Nothobranchius furzeri: one gene and its partners. The protein of the gene in region 1 purifies or fractionates together with the protein of each later gene. This does not show direct contact. Links are inferred from orthologs where the notes say so. Each region holds a gene or a part of one and is shown in the gene's direction. Other genes may lie near its edges.

What was found.
Region 2: the proteins of cyld (region 1) and map3k7 purify together in Homo sapiens (affinity purification with western blotting; 4 studies listed by BioGRID, with this or other methods). This does not show direct contact. The link is inferred for Nothobranchius furzeri from reciprocal best matches to the Homo sapiens genes CYLD and MAP3K7.
Region 3: the proteins of cyld (region 1) and spata2 purify together in Homo sapiens (affinity purification with western blotting; 10 studies listed by BioGRID and IntAct, with this or other methods). This does not show direct contact. The link is inferred for Nothobranchius furzeri from reciprocal best matches to the Homo sapiens genes CYLD and SPATA2.
Region 4: the proteins of cyld (region 1) and ripk1l purify together in Homo sapiens (affinity purification with western blotting; 5 studies listed by BioGRID). This does not show direct contact. The link is inferred for Nothobranchius furzeri from reciprocal best matches to the Homo sapiens genes CYLD and RIPK1.

The regions. Positions count from the first base shown.
Region 1 is NC_091749.1:71,007,841-71,012,525, forward strand, and holds the end of cyld (ubiquitin carboxyl-terminal hydrolase CYLD), read left to right. Parts: intron 1-3,367; coding exon 3,368-3,476; intron 3,477-3,558; coding exon 3,559-3,677; intron 3,678-3,865; coding exon 3,866-4,082; intron 4,083-4,187; coding exon 4,188-4,372; 3' UTR 4,373-4,600; downstream 4,601-4,685. UniProt on the Homo sapiens protein: Deubiquitinase that specifically cleaves 'Lys-63'- and linear 'Met-1'-linked polyubiquitin chains and is involved in NF-kappa-B activation and TNF-alpha-induced necroptosis.
Region 2 is NC_091743.1:91,283,079-91,288,487, forward strand, and holds the start of map3k7 (mitogen-activated protein kinase kinase kinase 7), read left to right. Parts: upstream 1-1,424; 5' UTR 1,425-1,637; intron 1,638-2,002; 5' UTR 2,003-2,025; coding exon 2,026-2,118; intron 2,119-2,205; coding exon 2,206-2,316; intron 2,317-5,409. UniProt on the Homo sapiens protein: Serine/threonine kinase which acts as an essential component of the MAP kinase signal transduction pathway. Plays an important role in the cascades of cellular responses evoked by changes in the environment.
Region 3 is NC_091755.1:60,288,244-60,293,425, reverse strand, and holds spata2 (spermatogenesis-associated protein 2), read left to right. Parts: upstream 1-2,089; 5' UTR 2,090-2,320; coding exon 2,321-2,671; intron 2,672-3,532; coding exon 3,533-4,873; 3' UTR 4,874-5,046; downstream 5,047-5,182.
Region 4 is NC_091751.1:51,503,888-51,509,068, forward strand, and holds the start of ripk1l (receptor-interacting serine/threonine-protein kinase 1), read left to right. Parts: upstream 1-1,944; 5' UTR 1,945-2,154; coding exon 2,155-2,333; intron 2,334-3,124; coding exon 3,125-3,281; intron 3,282-3,425; coding exon 3,426-3,563; intron 3,564-3,641; coding exon 3,642-3,873; intron 3,874-3,946; coding exon 3,947-4,096; intron 4,097-4,309; coding exon 4,310-4,386; intron 4,387-4,501; coding exon 4,502-4,586; intron 4,587-4,699; coding exon 4,700-5,181. UniProt on the Homo sapiens protein: Serine-threonine kinase which is a key regulator of TNF-mediated apoptosis, necroptosis and inflammatory pathways.

The DNA.
Region 1 (4,685 bases):
TTCCCTTGCTTGAAAAATTGTTCCAAAATGAAAGTTGAACCCACATCTTTTTATCTGTGAATTCAATGCCGTTCGGCGAGTCTCAAATAAAAATTTGAGCATCTTACTGTAAAAATATATACCATTAATGTAAAAAATAAACTCTAAATAAACTATGTTCACATCCAGAATCAAACCCAGGTCTTCCGCACGAGAGTCCGACGTCTAACTAGGTGAGCTACACACCAGTGACGTCTTGTGTATCTGTAACATTTATATCCTTGAAACAACGTCCAAAGAACGGTTCGGAGTGAAAATGGCTGTTTTGTTGCTAATTAGCAGGAAATATCTAGAAGAAAGTTCTACAGAAAGTAGCTAAGGGTCCTCAGAAATGTAGCTAGCTTTGTCACTAGGCGTTAGGAACAGCGACAAAGTGGCACTGCCTCTCTCTCTGCTGCTAAAGCTACGGATAGCAAATGCTACGGGCGATGCCTGAGCGTGAACGCGCATGAAGCAGCCTGCTCGACCCGAGCATCTCTCTTTTTCTGTGATTTTACAGAAAAACAGGCCCGAGCCCAGTGACATACGGGCTTTACCTGTTAAACACCTGTCGAACTCGCTCCTCTCTAAAGTTGCAGGTGGGTTTTTCCCGACGGTCGGGTCGGGACTAATCAGGCCCAGGTCACTGTCACGTTCAGCCCTACATCTGTTGTGAGTCCGATTTTTTCCTCGTGGTGACCCCAGTCTCAGGGGTCGTGTAGCATTTCATCCAGGGAGGTTTCATGTTTCCCTTTTCACGTAAGCCGGGCGTACACTGTGTGACTTTTTCACTTTTTTGAGCCGATTTTCCACTCGTGCGAGAATCCACAAGATCGGGGCGAGTTTAGCGCCGAGCGTCGTGTAGTGTACAGGGGTTACGAGAGGCGATTAACACCACGTGACCAGCTACCGATCAGCAATCGTGAGCTCGCACAGACTTCTGGAGTTTCTAATATTTTGCTCGTCCCTCGTGAGGGTATCGCACTGTTGAAGCGGCGCTGCGAGCAGCTGCGACCCAAAAAGTACCAGAACCGCTCACGGCGCATGCGCAATCCTGCATCAACACCGCTCGCCCGCTATTTCCCTAATAACACACGCTGTTCGTTTTTGTTTCTACACGTTTTTTACTCACAAAGATTGTCAAGAAAGCGTGTTTGTCGTGTTCATGTCAAATTAAACTGATCACAAAACACAGATTTACTTTCTTTATTTGGTTTTCCTCATCCAACCCCCATAAATCCCTGTGTGTCCTCCTGCAGCACTCCTGAAGGACAACAGGCAAGACAAAAAAGTCTGACGTGTTGAGTAAAAACTGCTATTTTTAGCATATTTCTAGGTCCGACGTGTTGCTACCAGACGTGCAGTGTGAGCACATGACTCGTGAGATCTACCCTGCGAGGAAGTCGTACAGTTTGAACTGAAGCTGAGTGCTACGAGTGAAAAAGTCGCACAGTGTCCGCCCAGCTTAAGTTATCCTTTTATTGGCTCAGATTATGAAACTCACCTGCAGGTTCACGTCTTCTTCAAGGCCGCTGTCAGAGGCCGGGTCCAGTCATGATTAAGCACCAAATAAAACTGCAAAATAACTGCAACTGAACATCAAGACCTGCAAAAACAAAGAAACTTTGTGCTTAAGGTTAAACGTGTTACCCTGCAGCTCACCTCCGGTTCCTGGCCTCTCGTTCGTCACAGCAGCGACTCGCACGCCCGCTGCTGTGGTTAAAATATTCATTGTAAACATCAGAGCAAAATGCGGATGGCCAGAAGAAGCCAGATTTATTTGATTACATCCAGATTTGACAACGCTATAGCTCGTTTAGGAGAGAGCTCCTTGGGTTGTTCTGTTTAAATCGAACCATGACATAAACAATAAAGCATAAAACATGTTGCCATATCTTGCAGATCTGCTGTGGCCGTGGAATAATCTTCATAAACCATGAAACTATGCTTTTGTCTTTTCGTACGAGCTAACCGTTTACCTAAAGTCATCATGAGGATTTGAACATATTTTTGTTTTAATGTATTTTAACATAAAGGAGAACTTTTTAGAGCAGGTCTCACCTGTAACACCGTGGTACCAGCAGGGGCGCCTCCAGAAAATTTTGATAGGGGTGGCCAGATGGGGCCCAAGAAATTTTTGGGGTGGCACACCAAACTGGTCCTTGTGGCAACTCTGGTTGAATTTAGTGTGTGGCGATGTGCTGCATTGCGCCTTTATTCGTTTTTATTAAAATACGAGTACGTATCCAAAACACTTAAATTTTACAAACACAAACATTTCAGTTATTTAAAATGTTATCCCAAATTTAATTTAAAAATGTATTTTTTTAGGTTAATTCACCTGCTGCTGTGTTCACAAAAAAACAAACTATGGAAATAAAAACTTTTTTAGAATGGTGAGCTGCAGAATCATGCTTTCTTTTCTCATTAATTGTAATTTTTTATTTTGTTTTACAATTATGTCTTGTTCTCGACCGGAAAAGGGTGGCTTGCCAACTCCGGGTCGAGGGAGAGGTCCTACCTCAAGTGGAGGAGTTTAAGTATCTCGGGGTCTTGTTCACGAGTGAGGGTAGGAGGGATCGGGAGATCGACAGGCGGATTGGTTCGGCGTCTGCAGCGATGCGGACGCTGGGCCGATCTGTCGTGGGGAAGAGGGAGCTGATCCAGAAAGCCAGGCTCTCGATTTACCGGTCGATCTACGTCCCAATCCTCACCTATGGTCATGAGCTTTGGGTAATGACCGAAAGAACGAGATCGCGGATACAAGCGGCCGAAATGAGTTTCCTCCGTAGGGTGGCCGGGCTCAGCCTTAGAGATAGGGTGAGGAGCTCGGACATTCGGGAAGGACTCGGAGTAGAACCGCTGCTCCTCCGGATCGAAAGGAGCCAGTTGAGGTGGTTTGGGCATCTGGTCAGGGTGCCTCCTGGACGCCTCCCTGGGGAGGTGTTTCGGGCATGTCCTGCCGGCAGGAGGCCCCCGGGTCGACCCAGGACACGTTGGAGAGGTTACATCTCCAATCTGGTCCGGGAACGCCTTGGGGTCCTGCCGGAGGAGCTGGTGGAGGTGGCCGGGGAGAGGACGGTCTGGAGCTCCCTAGTTGGGATGCTGCCCCCGCGACCCGGACCCGGATAAGCAGAGGAAGACGACGACGACTAATTATGTCTTGAATAAACAAGATCAATATATGGTTTGACTGAACATTAATATGATTTGTTAACACTGCCCTTTCTGGGTGGGGGGCAGCAGTTTTCTAGGGGTGGCCATGGCCACCCCTGGCCACAACTTGGGGGCAACCTTGGATACCACCTGGGTAAATAAATGTGTTTATCATCATTTCTTCCTCCCTCAGGCTCCCTCTTGCCTTATCATTCAAATGCCTCGATTTGGAAAGGACTTCAAAATGTTCAACAAGATCTTTCCCTCCTTGGAGTTGGACATCACAGACCTTCTGGAGGACAGTGAGTTGTTTTCCATTTCCGTAGAGGCGATTGGAAGCCGGGTGGGGTCTTATAACAAAGTTTCTCTCTTTTGAAATTTTAGCTCCAAGAGAGTGTCGCATCTGCGGCGGCCTGGCTCTCTACGAGTGCAGAGACTGTTATGAGGACGGGGACATCACGGCCGGCAAGATTAAGCAGTTCTGTGAAAAGTGCAACACACAGGTAATCAGTTAGCCTGTCGTCCACCAGGTGGCGCCAAATCCAAAGGAATCCCATCGTCTGTTGTGCTGCAGAGTTCTTCATCTTCAGTTAGAACTTTCTGGTGTTTTAATGTTGTTTATGCTTTTTAGTCTGTTTTTTTATTAAACCACACGAAGGATTTGGGACGATGTCTGGTTGTGCTCATTTAGGTTCACCTCCACCCGAAGAGGAAAACTCACCGACACAGCAAACTGTCCGTCCCCAAGGAGCTGCAGGAGGGTACAGGACGTCAGGGCACTTTCCCCCGCCAGCGGATGGAGCTGTTCGCCGTGCTGTGCATCGAAACCAGCCACTATGTGGCCTTCGTCAAGTACGGCGCCGCCGACTCTGCCTGGCTCTTCTTTGACAGCATGGCTGACCGCGACGGTGGGTGTCCCCGGATCCTGGATTCTCCTGTTTGGTCTCACGAGAGGAACTTTAAACCAACATCAGGAGTTTAGATTTTTAAAAGCTTCCATCTTGTTTCTCCAGGTGGACAGAACGGTTTCAACATCCCTCAGGTGTCTCCCTGTCCAGAGGTGGAAGCCTACCTGAAGATGACCCCTGAGGAGCTGCACACCTTAGACCCCAAGAGCATCCAGGGCCAGGCACGCCGCCTGCTCTGTGACGCTTACATGTGCATGTATCAGAGCCCGACCATGAGCCTGTACAAGTAGAACCCCACACACACACACACACACACACACACACCGCCACCACCTCTCCTCCTCTGCACCGCTCCCTCTGGCCAGCAGCTTCCCTGAACGACCAGAACTTTACAGCATGAACCGAAGGAGGTGTCTGCCACCAGGGGGCTGCCCTGAGGAACCCACCCACGTCTCCTCAGCGCCGGCCCGCTTCTGGAGGTCAGAGAGGCGAAGGAGAGCGCGAGAAGCCTATTTGCACTGTGCATAAGTGTTGTGTTCATCGCGTAGTCCTATGTAGCTTCCCTGCGTCTCCCAGCTGAGCGACGGTCGGCTTTCCGAGGAG
Region 2 (5,409 bases), on another chromosome or scaffold:
ACATAATTTCAGTCCGCATCATACTCCTCTCTGGAATTGTAGATACATCACCTCAAGAAATAACTCAATATTTTATCCAAACTGGGTGGAAAAGGATATCTGGTCTGTTTTACACTTGTTACACTGTTGTCTCATGAACTACTTAGCTCCAAATTCAAGCTGACTGTTAAGGAACAATATCAGGTTATAAAAGCAATTCCAAGTCCTGTCTTGTCAATCTCCTCCAATTTACATCACAATAACATTAGTCCAAAGCTCCCTGGACTTATGCTTAATGGATGTTCTATTACTGACAAAAAGTTATCCAATATTGTAGTAAGACAGTTATTTAGTCAACTGCATCCATTCTTAGCCAACAGATCATTAGCTTCTCACCTACAATCTTATGAAATAGAAAAAAAAGCAAGGAGTTTTTTTTCAAGCTTCCAGTTGCTCCAAAGATAAAAGAGATGCTGTTTAAAATTATTAATAGCATTTATCCATCTGGAGAGCTTTTGAGACATCGATTTAACTTGGAACATAATGGCTGCTCATTTTGTAATGCAGACAGAAACCACTGAGCATCTGCTTTTTGACTGAATTTGTAAAGACTTTTTGGAGTGAATTAGAGAATTGGTTGGCTTTGAGGCTATGTAATCCACCAAAACTTTCTAAAAAAACGTGTTAATCGGTTGTTTTACAACCAAGGACAATATTTATATTGCTTTAAATGTTATAATTATCCATGGATGTTATATACACAAATGCCGTTATGCTAAAACCTACCCTAATTTCATTGCATTTTATAAAGAATTAGTACATTACTTCTCTTTTTTGAAATCCATGAAAGGCTCCAAAGCCTAAGAAATACAAACTAAATGCTAACCCCTAGCACATTTATTGAATGATGTTTTGCACTTTAATAGTTGTTTTACTGTCATTTTGTCTATTTCATTTAATTTGTATTTTATTTATATTATGTTTGTTTATTATTTATTTACTTTTCCTCAGTTTATTTCTCTTGTCTGCTTGTATTTCCAGTTAAGAAGGGAATATTGTAATGTGCCATGTTTTGTTGATTAATAAACAGATTTTAAAAAATCATCCAAGGATCATGCACGTTTTGACTGTAGGGCCTTTGGTTAGGGAGCCGGTAGCTGAAACGCATTGACCTTCGCAATAGCGCCACCTAGAGTTTTGTGGGTATGAATTTTGGAATCATAGTAGCAGTCAGGTTTTTCTATCAGACTGCCATGTTACATTTTTTCTGGCATTTTCAGGCTCCTGCAGCCATATAGAATTAGCGGAAAAGAATAATGAATAACAATAAATAATGAAAAATCCGTTGAAAAACAACAGGGTTCCCTGCCCGTTGTCGCTTCATGCTGTTGTGATTTTCCTGTGCTGTAATGAGCGCATCCTCCTGGTGGAGCTGCTGTGCTTCCGCGAAGAAAAACAGTCGGAGGAAGCCAGCTAGACGAGCCGAGGGAAAGTTATGGACAGACGTTTTCTAAAGATGGACGTTATTCTTCGGCTTCCCGTGCAGAAATAGTAGGAGCTATCCCCATGTCTACGGAGCCGGCCTCGGTAACATCTACGAGAAAGGGCTGGATTTAAGCCCCGGCAGCTACGTTTAGCAACCAGGCTCGGAAGCTAATGTAAGCAAGCTAATTCACACCGTAGGCCTTGATAACTAAATTGTTTTGTTTAAGTGTCATGTTGTTTGTGCATTTCTCTTATTAACACCGTACTGATGCTCCAGGACTTGTTATCCAGCCTTCTGTGCAACTTAAAGCACGTTGTAGCCTTTGGTTGGTGGTTTTGTTGCAGCTGTGCTAGTTTTAGCTCTGCTGGCTAGCCAGCTGATGGAAGCTAGCGTGCTGTTTACCATGTTTGACAGCTCGCAAAAGGAATGTGGAGCGAAACGCAGTTCCGGTACATCAGTGCGTTCATTTTTTGTTTTTGTTTTTCTGATTGGTATTGACACGTTTCCGTTGTCCACTGTCTTCTTTTCTCTGATTAGTTACTAGCTTGTTTTAGCTAGTAATGTCTCAGACGCTACCACCTTCCGATATGCTGGAAACGCCACCTGGATATCCATTTGAAGAGATCAATTATGAGGATATTGAAGTGGAGGAGGTGAGTTATGTTTGGTCCGTGTGGCCATGGATGAGGGTGTTAACGGAGTTGTCCTAAACGTGATCGCCTGTATCTGTCCCTGTGAAGGTGGTGGGCAGAGGTGCGTTCGGGGTGGTCTGCAAAGCCAAGTGGAAAGGCAAAGATGTTGCAATCAAGACCATCGAGAGTGAGTCGGAGAGGAAAGCCTTTATTGTTGAGGTACTGTTACTCTATTATTATTGTTGTTGTTATTGTTATTATTGTTGTTATTATTGGTGCAGAGTCGACCAGGTCCACTGATGCACCAAGATGTGACTGCTGGTTTGGTGTTAGTGGCAAATGTCTGACACATCATACAGCTCTCAGCCATAAGATAATGACCACCTGTATGGTCTGAGTAAATCCTGCTTTTCTACTAGAGCACTGCAGACGTTAGAGGCCTGAACAGTGACATCACTAGACGTTTGTTTCTGGAGGATGTTGTGAGGCGAGGCCTTCATGGATGGGTTGATTTGGATGTGAAGACTCTAAAAACATCCATAAACATCTCTAACCACTTCTGTTAGGTCACCTGGTTCTTGTTCTTCTGCAGGCTTTTCCTCTTAACTCTTTCACTGCCATTGACGACTAAAGTCGTCATTTGCATTTTTTTTACTGTGTAGGCATCGGAACGAGCCCCTGCGCCGAAAGAACAAACATCTCAGCTCTGAAGCCGATCTTCATTCGCATACGTCACACGTCACATGATCAGGACGGAGAAAATCCATGTGTTAGGAGATTGCTTTGGGCCATTCCTGTAAAAAAAAAAAGTGAGGCGCGAACCGGAAAAGCGTCTGCCCATCACAGTTCGACAACGAGTTATGAAAGAACGGATAACGCTCGAAACGTGCAGATTCTTCCTGATGTAAGAGATGAGTCTCATCTTTGTTTTGGTTGTTTTGGCATCGACATCATCCTAGCGCGCAACGTTCTGTCACTCTTAAAAAACAGTAAAAACGGTGAGAAACGCTGGCAGCGAAGGCCGTTAACGATCAGGAAACGGCTGGCAGTGAATGAGTTAAAGGGAAGTGTCCCCTCTTCTCTTACACCATACTGAAGTGTAATCAGTGTAATCTGCCCATTTCGTTCTTTACTGTGCACTAAAATATCTGAGATTGAGTCATATAAAACTTTCAGATCAAAAAGCTAATTTCAAAGTCTGATAAGGATAACCTGAGTCAATAAAATGTTTTTTTCTGATGGTTTCATTATTAGAGGAACAGAGCTATCCCGACCACCCCGGTCCGGCGTGATAAAACAAACCTCACAAGTAGCAAACACCCCCGGTGTCACATCAGATGATTTGGATCCAAGGATTCAGCCAATACTCAGAAAGGTCAAAATACAAATGTATGTAAAGCAAATTAAATAAATCAGGAATGGTTTTAAGATTAACTTGGTTTGACACAACAGATATAGCTTAGCTTGACGACTAGACCACGACTAGATTAGAATTCATGTTGGACTCCCTTGACTGAGACCTGCTGATTCTGGCCTGGTTCGTAGCGAGTTAGTGGGCTGATCTGGCACTCACCAATAGCTGCAGGGAGCTTTTATCACCGTAATACAGATGGAAATATCAAGATGTCTCAGGTGAGCTTCGATGAGGTGAGTGCAGAGAGATCAGGAACTGAAGTCCTGACACTAAGAGGCTCCACCTGGGTCCGGTGTCTGTGATAACTCCTATTGAGTCTCATGCCAAGCCAACTTTATTTGTGTACAACCTTAAACAATAACAGTAAAAACAATAAAAATGCATAAAAACTAAAACTTGAGGACTAAAAGTAAAAGACTCATGCTAAGTTAAAAGTGGGTTTTCTAGAGATTTCTGTCACCTCTAAACTGGCGTCTCGTTGTCGGGACTTCCAGGAGCTTCCTATCAGCCGACCTCAGACCGTGCAGGGGAGTTAAAAACCAGTAGCTCAGAGAGGTCATCTGGAGCAAGGCCGTAAAGATTTAAAAGCCCATAAAAGCACCTTGTACTGGATTCAAAAACAAGCAGGTAGCCAGTGCAGTGAGGCCAGGACAGGAGTAACGTGCACCGTCATTTTCGTCCCATCGATAAGCCGTGCAGCAGCATCCTGCACCAACTGAAGACGCCAGAGGTGGGATTGTGAAACACCAAACTCTCAGTGTGTTCACATGCGCGTCAGAAAACTGAACTTTTGCCCTAAGTAGACTGACGTTGTTGATTTTTAAACTCATGTAAACTTGTAAGTCTCGTTGAACGTGAACTGGTTCTAGTCGTCCTGAAGCACCCAGATAATGTAGTGGGAGCCCAACTTCATCTGTGTGTAAGCGCCTCCATCGAGCTGATGACGGTAACTTTCAGACTTGACGAGACGCAGAAGAGGTCTTCTGATATCATCGCCACAAAGTCGCACGTGTAACAGCATCACAGATCAGCTGTGCCGCAGCGTTGTTGTCCATTCGGCCATTGTTCATATCCTGTTTTAACTCTGTCTGCTTCACTCCCACCAGCGTTTGTTTGCTATTTGTGTTGCTATAAGTTAACCGGAAGAACGCCTACACAATAGGGCGCATGTCGCCTCCAACTGTACCGGAACGGTACTAACGTCTTTACGGGGGTTGGTTTTCTAACGTACAGGTAAACTAGGAGAAAGGCTCCCAGTTTATTTTAGATCCATTCAGATGTGCGTGTAAACACGCTGAGTGGTACATCAGAGGGGTTTCCAGCAGGAACGGCCTGTTTAAGGTCAAAGGTCAGACGTTCTCTTTCAGGATGCTCTGCCAGAGCATGGTTCCAGCAGGTCCTTTGTGTTCTTCCTCACTTGACTCATGACCTCTGACCTTAACATTAGCCAAGTGACACCTGTAGGTAGGATGGGCCCAACATCTATAAATCGTGATATAATTTAAAGCACGTGCGGTAACACGACGTATTCTTTTCATTAGTTTATTTGTCCAAATAACCTTTCTGAACAATCTCTCACACCAGATGAGCGGCACCAGAACAAGTGCTGATGAAAAGGACAGAATGCCACTTAAAAACCGTTTAACGTGACAAAACGTCTCAAATGACTTTTATGTTCTTAAGGTTCTTTTTTCAAACTTTTCATCACAAATATTCTCATGACGTGAATAAAGATGAAGATATTTTAATGAAAAATGTAAAAACACAAATAAAATTTCTTTCTGATTAATTTAATAATTTTCAGGTTTTCTTTTGCTCATAGAAGTTTAGTGTTAGTCGTTAATAACTGCAGCTAAAACGATGCTTTGCAGCAGTTCTTTTTTGTTTGTAAAAGAGAA
Region 3 (5,182 bases), on another chromosome or scaffold:
TAACTAAAACACAAATAAAATATTAACTAAGAGGACGGTTATATGGAGTCAAATTGCAAAATTCAGTCAGTTTTTAAATGTCTTAATATGAACGACAGGGTACATTCCTCCGGTGGCAAAAAGATGTAACTGCAGTCTGGCTATACAAACACTTCCTGTAAATTATTTCAAAATAAAACTACTTGGGGGGTTAGAAACAGGTAAACTCGTTATAACTAGTGTTTTTCTCTAATAATTTAGCTAAAACACAATCAAAACCGTATTTGTGTAGGAGTATTAAACACGACAGTATTCAGTCTTTAGTCTACAGCATCGACATTAATATACGGTCTACAGTCTCTACAGTCATTGGTCTTTTCACTAGGGCTAAAGATGACGTAAAGTCGTCAGTATCCTACGCATGCGCATGACGATGAAGCGAATTTTCAAGAGCTGAGGAGGCGTAGCTTAGCATGTGGCTAACTCTTGTCAAAGGTAAGATTAATAGGTTCTAGTATTTAAGACGTCGTGTGGCTTCTACGAGAAACTTAGTTATAGTCTCTCGTATATTAATAATGCTATTGTAGCTGTTTATGTGTTGATAGTTGACTGTAACTGGGTGAAGTATGTCCGGGTAGCAATGGAACGCCCTGTTAGCTAGCCAGCTGCGCTTAAATGGGCGTTCACTGCTTGGCGTAGATTCGCGTTAATGCTGAAGACTAAATCGGTTTGAGGTGGAAAGTCAGTGTGGTAGCTGTTGGTGTGGTTTTTGTTAATGATTAGGGATAGTTAATGGTTGCTTCGCAAGCGATTCTTCGTGAGAAAGTGCTAACGTTGCTTGCTAGCTCGTAACATGTTCCTCGTATGATTAAACTGGAATAACCAGCAATAATTCTTTGGGATGACGGACACTTCCAAATAGTTTTAGTTTGAAGCATCATAACGCATTTAGATTGTCCTGTTTTCACATATCTGATTTGATATTATTAGATAAAAGAGATCAAAGCCAACCACTCTAACTTTCTTTGACAGGTTACCATTTCCAATACCATTTTCCAAACGAAAACAAAGAGCAAATGGGTTAACCTGTTTCTTCGAATCTACGCATTGGTTTCTTTCAGGGTTGTATCCATAATGATGATGACCTAAACCAGGTCAACTGTTCGGTGTATGAATAAAGCAATCAACTTCCCACTCAACACTAAGGTCGATACCTCAGTTTAAATCTGCTATAGCAAATTTGGAAAATAAATTAGTTTAAAATATTCTTTCGAGCTTCTTAATAATGTTCTAGCATAGTATAGCTATAAATACATTGTGGAGAAAAAAGAAAGTAGTTTTCTCGCATTTGTCTACAAACCTCTGCCAATAACATGTTTCAGACTGAAAGCAACCATTGCACCATCCGGTCGTTGGTCTCGCTGAACTGCTGCGCTTTCCTGTGTTTTCCATTCATTACACATCCATGTATTTTGCAACAGAACACCACTAGTATGAGAGGTTCTCTGCTCAGTAATACCAGAGAATGAGAAACAGCCGGTTGCTACAACTTCAACTTTAGGATAAACTCCTAAAAAGAAAAACACCATTTGAAGTCACAACAAAAAATGTTTGGACCTAGACAATGCATCTGGTGTTTAGCACGCTCTTGTTTGCTCTGGCATCACGTTTTCGGTTGCGGCAGAAGCGTCTCAGGGTAGATACCCGAGGAGGCGGGGTGGGTGTTCCATGACTGTGTTTGCATTCAAAACCAATCTTGTTCTGCAGACTTGCTGTAACAGATTAACTGTCTTTTTGTTTTTTTCAGGCCATGCCTATTAATGTATTTCTAGTGGAGTAAATGATCTCAAACGTAAGTGTTGTGCATTCCATTAACGTAATTATTTTTTTATGCATCATTACAGCTTGGATTTGGCTTAGAAGACTCCAGTATTCCTGAAACCAAAGACTGGATTCCACTCAACTTCAAACTGACTGATAAAGTGATCTACCCAATTTTGTTTTGCATCACACAAACGTATTTGTTTGGAAACCAGTTGAGCTTAGTTTTACTGGAGATGTCCATTCTGAGGCATCCATACAGGCTGCAGCCTAGCCACACTCACTAAAAGCCTCCACAAAGCTGCATATCACTAACAGAGGATGTTCTTCTGACTGGATTCAAGGTCTCTCTTCTTTGCCATCTCTACTGATCATTAGAATTCAGTGAGCATCCGTGTGTGCTGTGAGTTATGGTGGCTTAAAATGATGCTCAAATGTAGCATCCTAGTGCAGGGAGTGGCTAAAGGGGTGAGGCTTGCACAGGGAATTTTGGCAGCTGAATGATCATCTGCGGCAAATAATGGATGCCAAGTTAAAAGAGGACCTGTTTCGGAGGTATGTTACAGCATTGGAAAGGCGCCTGGAGGAGGGGGGAGCCAGTACAGGGGCTGGAACTACACTGGATGGGGACAAAAGTAGAAACAAAGACAGTGAGGCACTGCTTTCCACGGCTACAGCTCTTCTTGGGGCTTACCAGCCAGATCCTGGACAGCGATTTCGCATGGTGCGATTCTATGAGGTGGTGGAGAACTCACTCCGCTACCAGAGAGGAAGCAACCTGAAGAGCCTGGAGAGAGCTTTCAATACACTGGAAACCATCTGTACCAACCTCTTGCTCTTTCCTTGGAAGAAAGAGTTCAGATGTATTAAGGTGAGTGTTACTGAATATTATACCTGCTTATGGCAGAAAATCTCCAGTAAATTAATTTTAAATATTCCAAAATAAACTTGCAAGACAAGAGTTTCAAATTATGCTGTTGACTGTTATTTAAATGTATCAGTTTCAGTAGCAAGGGTTTCAAAAGACAACAGAAATCTGCTAGCACTGATTAATATCAGCTGTTCTCTTTACATCTTTGCTGTATACAGAACAGCAGTGAATAAGTCTGTTCATGTTACGCAACAAACCAATGAAAAGCCCATGTTTTTCAGGCTGTGATTGATGCAAAGCAGTAACTAAGGCAGGAACTTGGCAGCAAGAGCAGGAACTTAAAAATGGAGACAACTCACCAATATTTCACCTTGTTAATACACTTATCAATACAACAGCGAACAAATGTATCTGTCTTCATCACTGTCTTTGGTCCCAACTATCCAGTTGAGCACAACTCTTCACTCAACTGGGTAGCTGCACCTTGAAAGAGTTCTTTATACAAAAACAGCCGCCAGACTGTAACATAACTCCATAGAAGCTTCTGTATTTTGTCTAAAGCCAGTTGGTTTTTGAAGAGCCATTAAAAAACAAGTCTTCTAGTCAACATGCATGCTCTGTACCATTTATGTAACTGTTAGATATGGAGAAGGACATAAAGCTGAGCTCTTTTCATGCATTCTAATTGGTCACTGCTACAGTTTTCTACAAGTTTCTTTTATAAGGAAATCTCCTAAAACATGTTTCCGTGTAACTCAGCCTCAATAACATGTAAATAGAACCTTAACTATATTTGGTGTCATGTAGACAGAGACTGTTCTTCTTTCACAGACTCACTAATGATGTCCTTTTGTCTTTTAGACCTTCACTGGACCGTATGTGTACCACTTGCAGTCCGCCATCTTTGATGCTGAACTCCGAACTTTGATGCGCACCATTGGATATTCCTGTGACCACGATTCTAAGTTTACTTTGCAGGATCTCACGGGGGACACAAATTATCTCCGCCAGTTAGCGTTTGAGCTGTTTTTGGCCCAGGCCGAGTGTCGTCTTCTGGGGGAGGTGGTGGCTCTTGCTCGTGGTTCAGCTTCAGAGCTGGAGGCTCTGGAACTCCGCAGAGGTTGCAGAGATGATGCCGCTGGCTGTGCCGAGGCTCTGCGAAGACGTGACAGCCTTGGGGCAGACATGGCTCGGTTGTCTGTGCGACCACTGGATATAGAGAAACCTCATGCGCATCAGCTGAGACGAGGTAGCCGACCATCCAAGTCTGTGGATGTTACAGATGGGGCTGGTCACTGGCACCCAGCTGTTAACAAGCCTGTTCTGAAGGCCTCGTTGAGTCTAAGAAAGGAGCCCCTGTTTGTGGATGCAGAGGAGGATATGAAGGATGAGATCATCAGGCCCAGCACCCCGGCATCTTTTTTCTCTGTCGCTGCTCCACCTTCTTATAGCCCCGTTGCAGACTTTTTCCCAGTTCCTTCACCCACCCCAGCTGACCCCTACGCGTCTTACCACCTGGCCTCTCTGGATGAGATTGATTTATACACCGAGAAGGGCAGTGCAGGGACAGGAGGAAGGCAGACTCCATTGCGACCGCCTTCCAGAGAGCCTCGAGATGGCTGGCTGCTCAAAGGTCATGGTAATATCAAGTGCCAGAGTTGTGGACTAGGGTGCTCCACAATGACTTCCTGCCATAGGTGTGACATGATTCTTTGCCCTTCCTGTCATGATGTGGACCCATCCCCTTGCTGTGGCCTCCAGGACTACCACCCCAAATCCCCACGACCCCTTGATGGATACCTTCCTGTCAAGGAAAAGCTTTCTGTCTACTCAAACACCCATTCCCACTCCCATCTTCATCCACACCCTCTAACACTAACCCACTCACTCTCTCATCCCCATCCTCAGATGATAGAGAAACCCTTCATGCCCACCAAGTTGTTTTCAAGCAAGACTACTGCCTTGACGACACCAAAGGGAGGCAGCAGCGAGCGATTAAGCATGGGGGGGTCCAGGTGTGGATTTTGCAACAAGCCAGCTGCTTCACACACCTGTGTGAACTGCTCTAAGGTGTCATGTGATTCATGCATGGGCTTGTATGCAAAAGACATCTGCACCCGAAAGAATCCTCAGCACAGCTTTGTGCCCAACCATCAGCTCAACTTCAAACCCGGCACCATGTCTCACTTAGTTTACCGATGAGTCAGGCAGAGTAATCCCCATCGGTTCACTCCTTTACTGTAATCTAGTCTCTAATGACCTGTAGTCTTGCACTATTGCTTTACCGTTCATCAGGCTTATGTGGCACATTTTATGTTCGCTGTCCTTTTTCTCTTCCTCTCATGGAACGCACAAGCCACTGAGAGCCATGCCGTCTGTCCATCTCTCTGCCTTGTACAACTTCAGGCCTTTTATCTGTTTATTTTGCTCTTGGATAGTCACGTGATGTTGTAGAGCTTCCCAGTCTTCTTGGATTTTACACTCCTTAAAAGGGAACCTGGAGAAAATAGT
Region 4 (5,181 bases), on another chromosome or scaffold:
CTGGACCTGACTGCAACCTTTGACACCGTTGGCCATCACCTGCTACTGGAGAGGCTGAGAGACTGGGTAGGCCTATCAGGAATTGCTCTGGAGTGGTTCTCCTCTTATCTCTCTGAGCGCTCCTTTTCTGTGGCCGTCTCCAAGTTTCGGTCCTCCACCACCTCCCTTACCCATGGTGTCCCACAAGGGTCTGTGCTGGGGCCTCTGCTCTTCCTCCTCTATCTGCTTCGTCTTAAGCACATCCTGAGCTCCTTCAAAGGAATCTCCTACCATCTTTATGCAGATGACATCCAACTGTACATCTCCTTTAAGCTCCATGAGCTGCTGCTGTTACACACCTGCTTAGACTCTATCAAAACCTGGATGGCTGGGAGCTTTCTACAGCTGAATGAAGATAAGACTGAGATCCTTATCTGTGCCCCAGACAAGCTGGTTCCCAAAGTCAGAGACTCTCTTGGTCAGCTTGCTTCTCACACCAAACCTTCCGTCAGGAATCTTGGCGTGACCTTTGACCCAGCTCTCACCCTGCATTCTCATGTAAGTTCTTGTTCGCTCTTCCTTCTTCCATCTCAGGAACATTGCTAAGCTGAGTCCCATTCTGTCCCGCTCTGAACTTGAGACTGTTCTCCACACCTTCATCTCCTCACGCTTAGACTACTGCAACTCTCTTTTCACGTGCCTGAGCAAAACCTCCCTGAACCGTCTACAGGTGGTTCAGAATGCCTGTGCTCAGCTTCTGACCAAGTCCTCCAAACACACCCACATCACCTCGCTTCATTGGCTGCCAGTCAACTTCAGGGTTCATTTCAAGATCCTGGTTCTGGTCTATAGGGTCATGGACAAGCACCTTCTTACATTGGTGATCTTCTTAGTCCCTACACCCCCAGCAGGTCCCTGAAGTCCAGTAATCAAAGCCTACTGGTTGTGCAGCGCACCAGGCTAAAGACCAAAGGTGACAGATCATTTGCTGCTGTGGCCCCCAGACTCTGGAACTCTCTCCCCCTGAGCCTGAGATCAGTGGACTCAGTGGACTCCTTTAAAAAACAGCTGAAGACTCACCTGTTCAAGCTGGCTTTTGTACGACCTTTTTCACCACTCTCTCTTTATTCTGCTCTCCCCACCTATTCCACCTTCCTCAGGATCCACTGATTTCCCACTTTCCTATTCACTCTCTCTCTTTCTTAACATTTTTTAAATCGCAATTGTCTATTTTTTGCTCATTTTAAATGTATTTGTTACCATTTTCTAAATTCTTTTTCATGCTTTTACATTTTTTGTTTTTGTGAAGCGCCTTGTGACTTTTATCTTGAGAGGCATTATAGAAATTATATTTTCTTCTTCTTGTTCTTCTTCAAAGATGTGATAGATCATCTTAAGAAATGTTCTTTATAAAAGTGGCGATTTTACAATAAAGTTGACAATAACTTTTGATTTTGTACCTCATTATCAAACTTCTGAAAACAAAATAAATATAAAAAAATGTGTCTGTGGTTCTACTTGAAGACCAGTTGAGTAAAATTCAGTTAGCAAATTTGGCCACTAGGTGGAGGCACCGTTACATGTAAATATGAATTTCAGACGAATTAATTTATACTAAATGAAGACACATATTTAAGTTATATAACATAGTTTTTTTCAACTGCATGTATTAGAGTTTCGTTTTTAATGCCTTTTTTAGTTATTTCAAACGCTTCGCAAACATGAATCTATTAACCAGCCTGGTGTATTAATCTGTTATCAACTTGTAAGGCTGTTTGTAGTCTTAAGCATTAGTTTCGCTCATCGGTTTGTTTCGCTTTATTACTAGTAGGACGTCGAGGAAACACCGGAAATACTGAGAAAGAATATTTAAGTGAGTTTTAGGATAACTTATTGACACTTTTAATTTTATATTTGTAATTGGAATGCATAATGAGGTTACTTTACGTCGTGGTTAATGAGTTTTTAAGCTATCATTAAGCTGCTTTATGATGCGTCTTGGCATGTCTTGCTAACTCAACTCGGGGCTGTGTTTTGAAAGTTACGGGTGGTTAATTCATCGGGTCAGTGCTTTAGTTTGAACGCTGCGTTTACTTACACACACATATATATAGTAGTGTAGCTAAATGTTAACTACATTGTTATGAGTGTAAACGAGCAAAGTCGGAAGTTTTTATGTCATTTGTATCAGAAATGGCAACCGCGCCTGAAACCTCGCTTCAGATGAGCTCGTCGGATCTCATCAAAAAGAAGCCGCTGGACTACGGAGGATTTGGAGAAGTTTATTTGTGCTACCATGTCACCCTCGGCCATGTGGCGCTGAAGACTGTGTACACAGGTCCTCTACGAAGCGAGTAAGTTATTATGTTTGTTACAGAGGGAGAACATTCCCGGGTATTCCCCTCCTTGTAACTTAAATCATGTGTCCAGATTGCTGGTTACAGACAGCTGTGGCTGGACTTTTTAATTTAGCATTAAGGGAGTAGGAAGTAATACCCTGATGTGAAAATAGACAACCGATGGTAAAATAAAGTGCACTGTTTTCCTTTTATTATCACGAATCTTTGTCAGGGTCAGATATTTTATTCCACAAGAGGATGCCTCCCATCTATTTCGTAGATCAGACCTGCACAGGTGCATGTTTTGCAAAGTCTTTTCAGCATCTGAGACACATCAAAGCTTCTAAATGCAACAATCTCAAATTCTAAACTGAATTTAAGTAAATCTTTTGACAGTGATCTTATACTAATCTTCTCTGCTTCTCTCTGCGTGTGCAAGTATGAGAGTCTCAAACTCAAAGTTTGTGAAGCATCTATAATCATTCAAGAAAAGTGTGATTGTGTGACTTTTACTGAACTGTGCAGTTTGTTTACCAACAAAGAAAACAATGTCAGTATTAGAATTCTTAATTTACAACTCAGAAATGTGTGTGACATTATCAACTGTTATCAAACAATTAAATAAAAATAAAACTTTACGTATTTTTGCTATGATGAATAAAAATAAATTTAGATCAAACAGGACATTTACCACAGCATATCAGATGATCATGCTTGTTCTTCTTGTTGTTTCTATTTTATTATATATATATATATATATATATATATATATATATATATATATATATATACACCATACTCATCAGAGACAGTAAAAGGTCGCTGCTGGAGGAAGGGAATATCATGGCAAGCCTCAATCATGAGCGTGTGGTAAAGCTGCTGGGTGTGATCATGGAGGATAGCGACTGCTCTCTCGTTATGGAGCTCCTGCCCAGAGGCAACCTGCTGGTCGTGCTGAAGAAGGTCAGTCACTCTAAAAATGCCCACTTGGCTTAAAAAAGCATTTTTTTTCAACTGTTTAATAGTGAAACCTGTGTTAGGCTTCAATAGATAAGGATGTGCTTTTATAAACTGTAATATTAATACACTAAATGATTGTTTTTGTAGGTCAATGTGCCGATGTCTGTCAAGGGAAGGATCATCTTAGAGATTTTGGATGGGATGGTGTACCTCACAGAGAGGTCCATCGTCCACAAGGACATCAAGCCTGAAAACATCTTAGTGGATAATGATTTTCACATCAAGGTACACGATAATCTAACACCTATTACTTTTTATTTTATTTACACTCATTATAAAAGCTTTATTCTCTGCGTTATTTAGATCGCCGACCTCGGCCTAGCAACCTGCAAGATGTGGAGCAAGCTCACGAAACAGGAGTCTCAAAGAAGGAGTCGTAACGAGCCATCGGCTGGACTGAGAGGTGCTGGGACGCTGAGCTACATGGCGCCAGAGCACCTGAAGAGCATCCATGCCCGCTCTACTGAGAAGTCTGACGTGTACAGCTTTGCCATCGTGGTCTGGGTCATTCTCACTGGGCAAGAACCATATGAAAGTGAGCTTGAAAACATAAACCTTGTTTAATTTTATTTTTGTGCAAACATTAAAACAATCTGTCTCATTTCCAGACGCCAGGAGTGAAGAACACATGAGCCAGTGTGTCATCAACGGTGACCGACCAGCAGATCATCTCATTCCTGAAGACACGCCTGAAGAGATCATTCAGCTCATGAAGAGGTGCTGGGATCACAATCGTGAACAAAGACCAACATTTGAAGGTTTGGCATTCAGAATTGCATTTCTTAGGAAAAAGAGATGGTATCATTTTTCTTAGATTTTTTCCCCCCATGCCTAACAGGAACACATCATGTTGAGTCTCACTCAGACTGAAACTCAGATTATTATTATTATTATTATCATTATTATTATATTATTAATGTTAGATGGATCTTTTCATCCTCCCCTCTCATCTGTTTGCTCCTTTCTTGCAGAGGCTTATCGCTCTTTCCTTCCTTTGTACATGGAAAAGCTTGAACCATATGTAGAGAAAGATGTTTGCACATTAAGGGTGAGTATAGTACGGTATAATTGTGGTGGTTTTGGGAGGAACTCACTAACCCACCAAGTGATTTTAAAAGCTAAATACTGATTTTAAGTAAGGATTCAATGTTATTTTGTTACAGGAAACATACAATGGCCCAGAAGAACTGGTTGAAAGCATGAAATCATTATCAGTGACCAACGAATGTAGTCTGGCATGTGAACACGGTAGGTCCGACTCTTTACTTTGATGCTCTGTTTTACGTTTAATGTTTGAAATTTTGCAGGATGCCTAAACCCTTGAGCACCATTTCTGATTTAAGATTTTCTGATGTTTTTAGACCACCCAGCTCCTTTGATGAGCTCAGATAAAAGTATATCCATGATACCAGTTGAGGCCAGTATCGAGGACCTGCATAACATCCAGTACGACCCATACAGAGAGTTTATTCAAGCGGACGCAAGAGAAATGACCAACCGACCAGAGCTGGAGGAGAAACTGGACCGGGAGCTTCAGTACCACCAATATGGCAGCTACAACATGCACCCTGAAGCTTCCAACTACTTTCTCAAAAATCCCTCAAACCCTTTCTTGCCTAACTATGGCAGTGTCACAGATAACATTGCAAGAGGGCCAGCACAGGAAGTGTCCTCTGTTCATTCATGGACTAAAGGAGAAATGGTGCAGCCCACCAGCCCGGAGGAGGGTTTTGATCGCCTCAATTCTGGACTCAACCATTCCATTAACTCCTCCTCGGCTTATGAACCCCATCTGCACATGTCTGCTAGCACACCCTCTCTGCCACAGTTTAACCAGCATCAT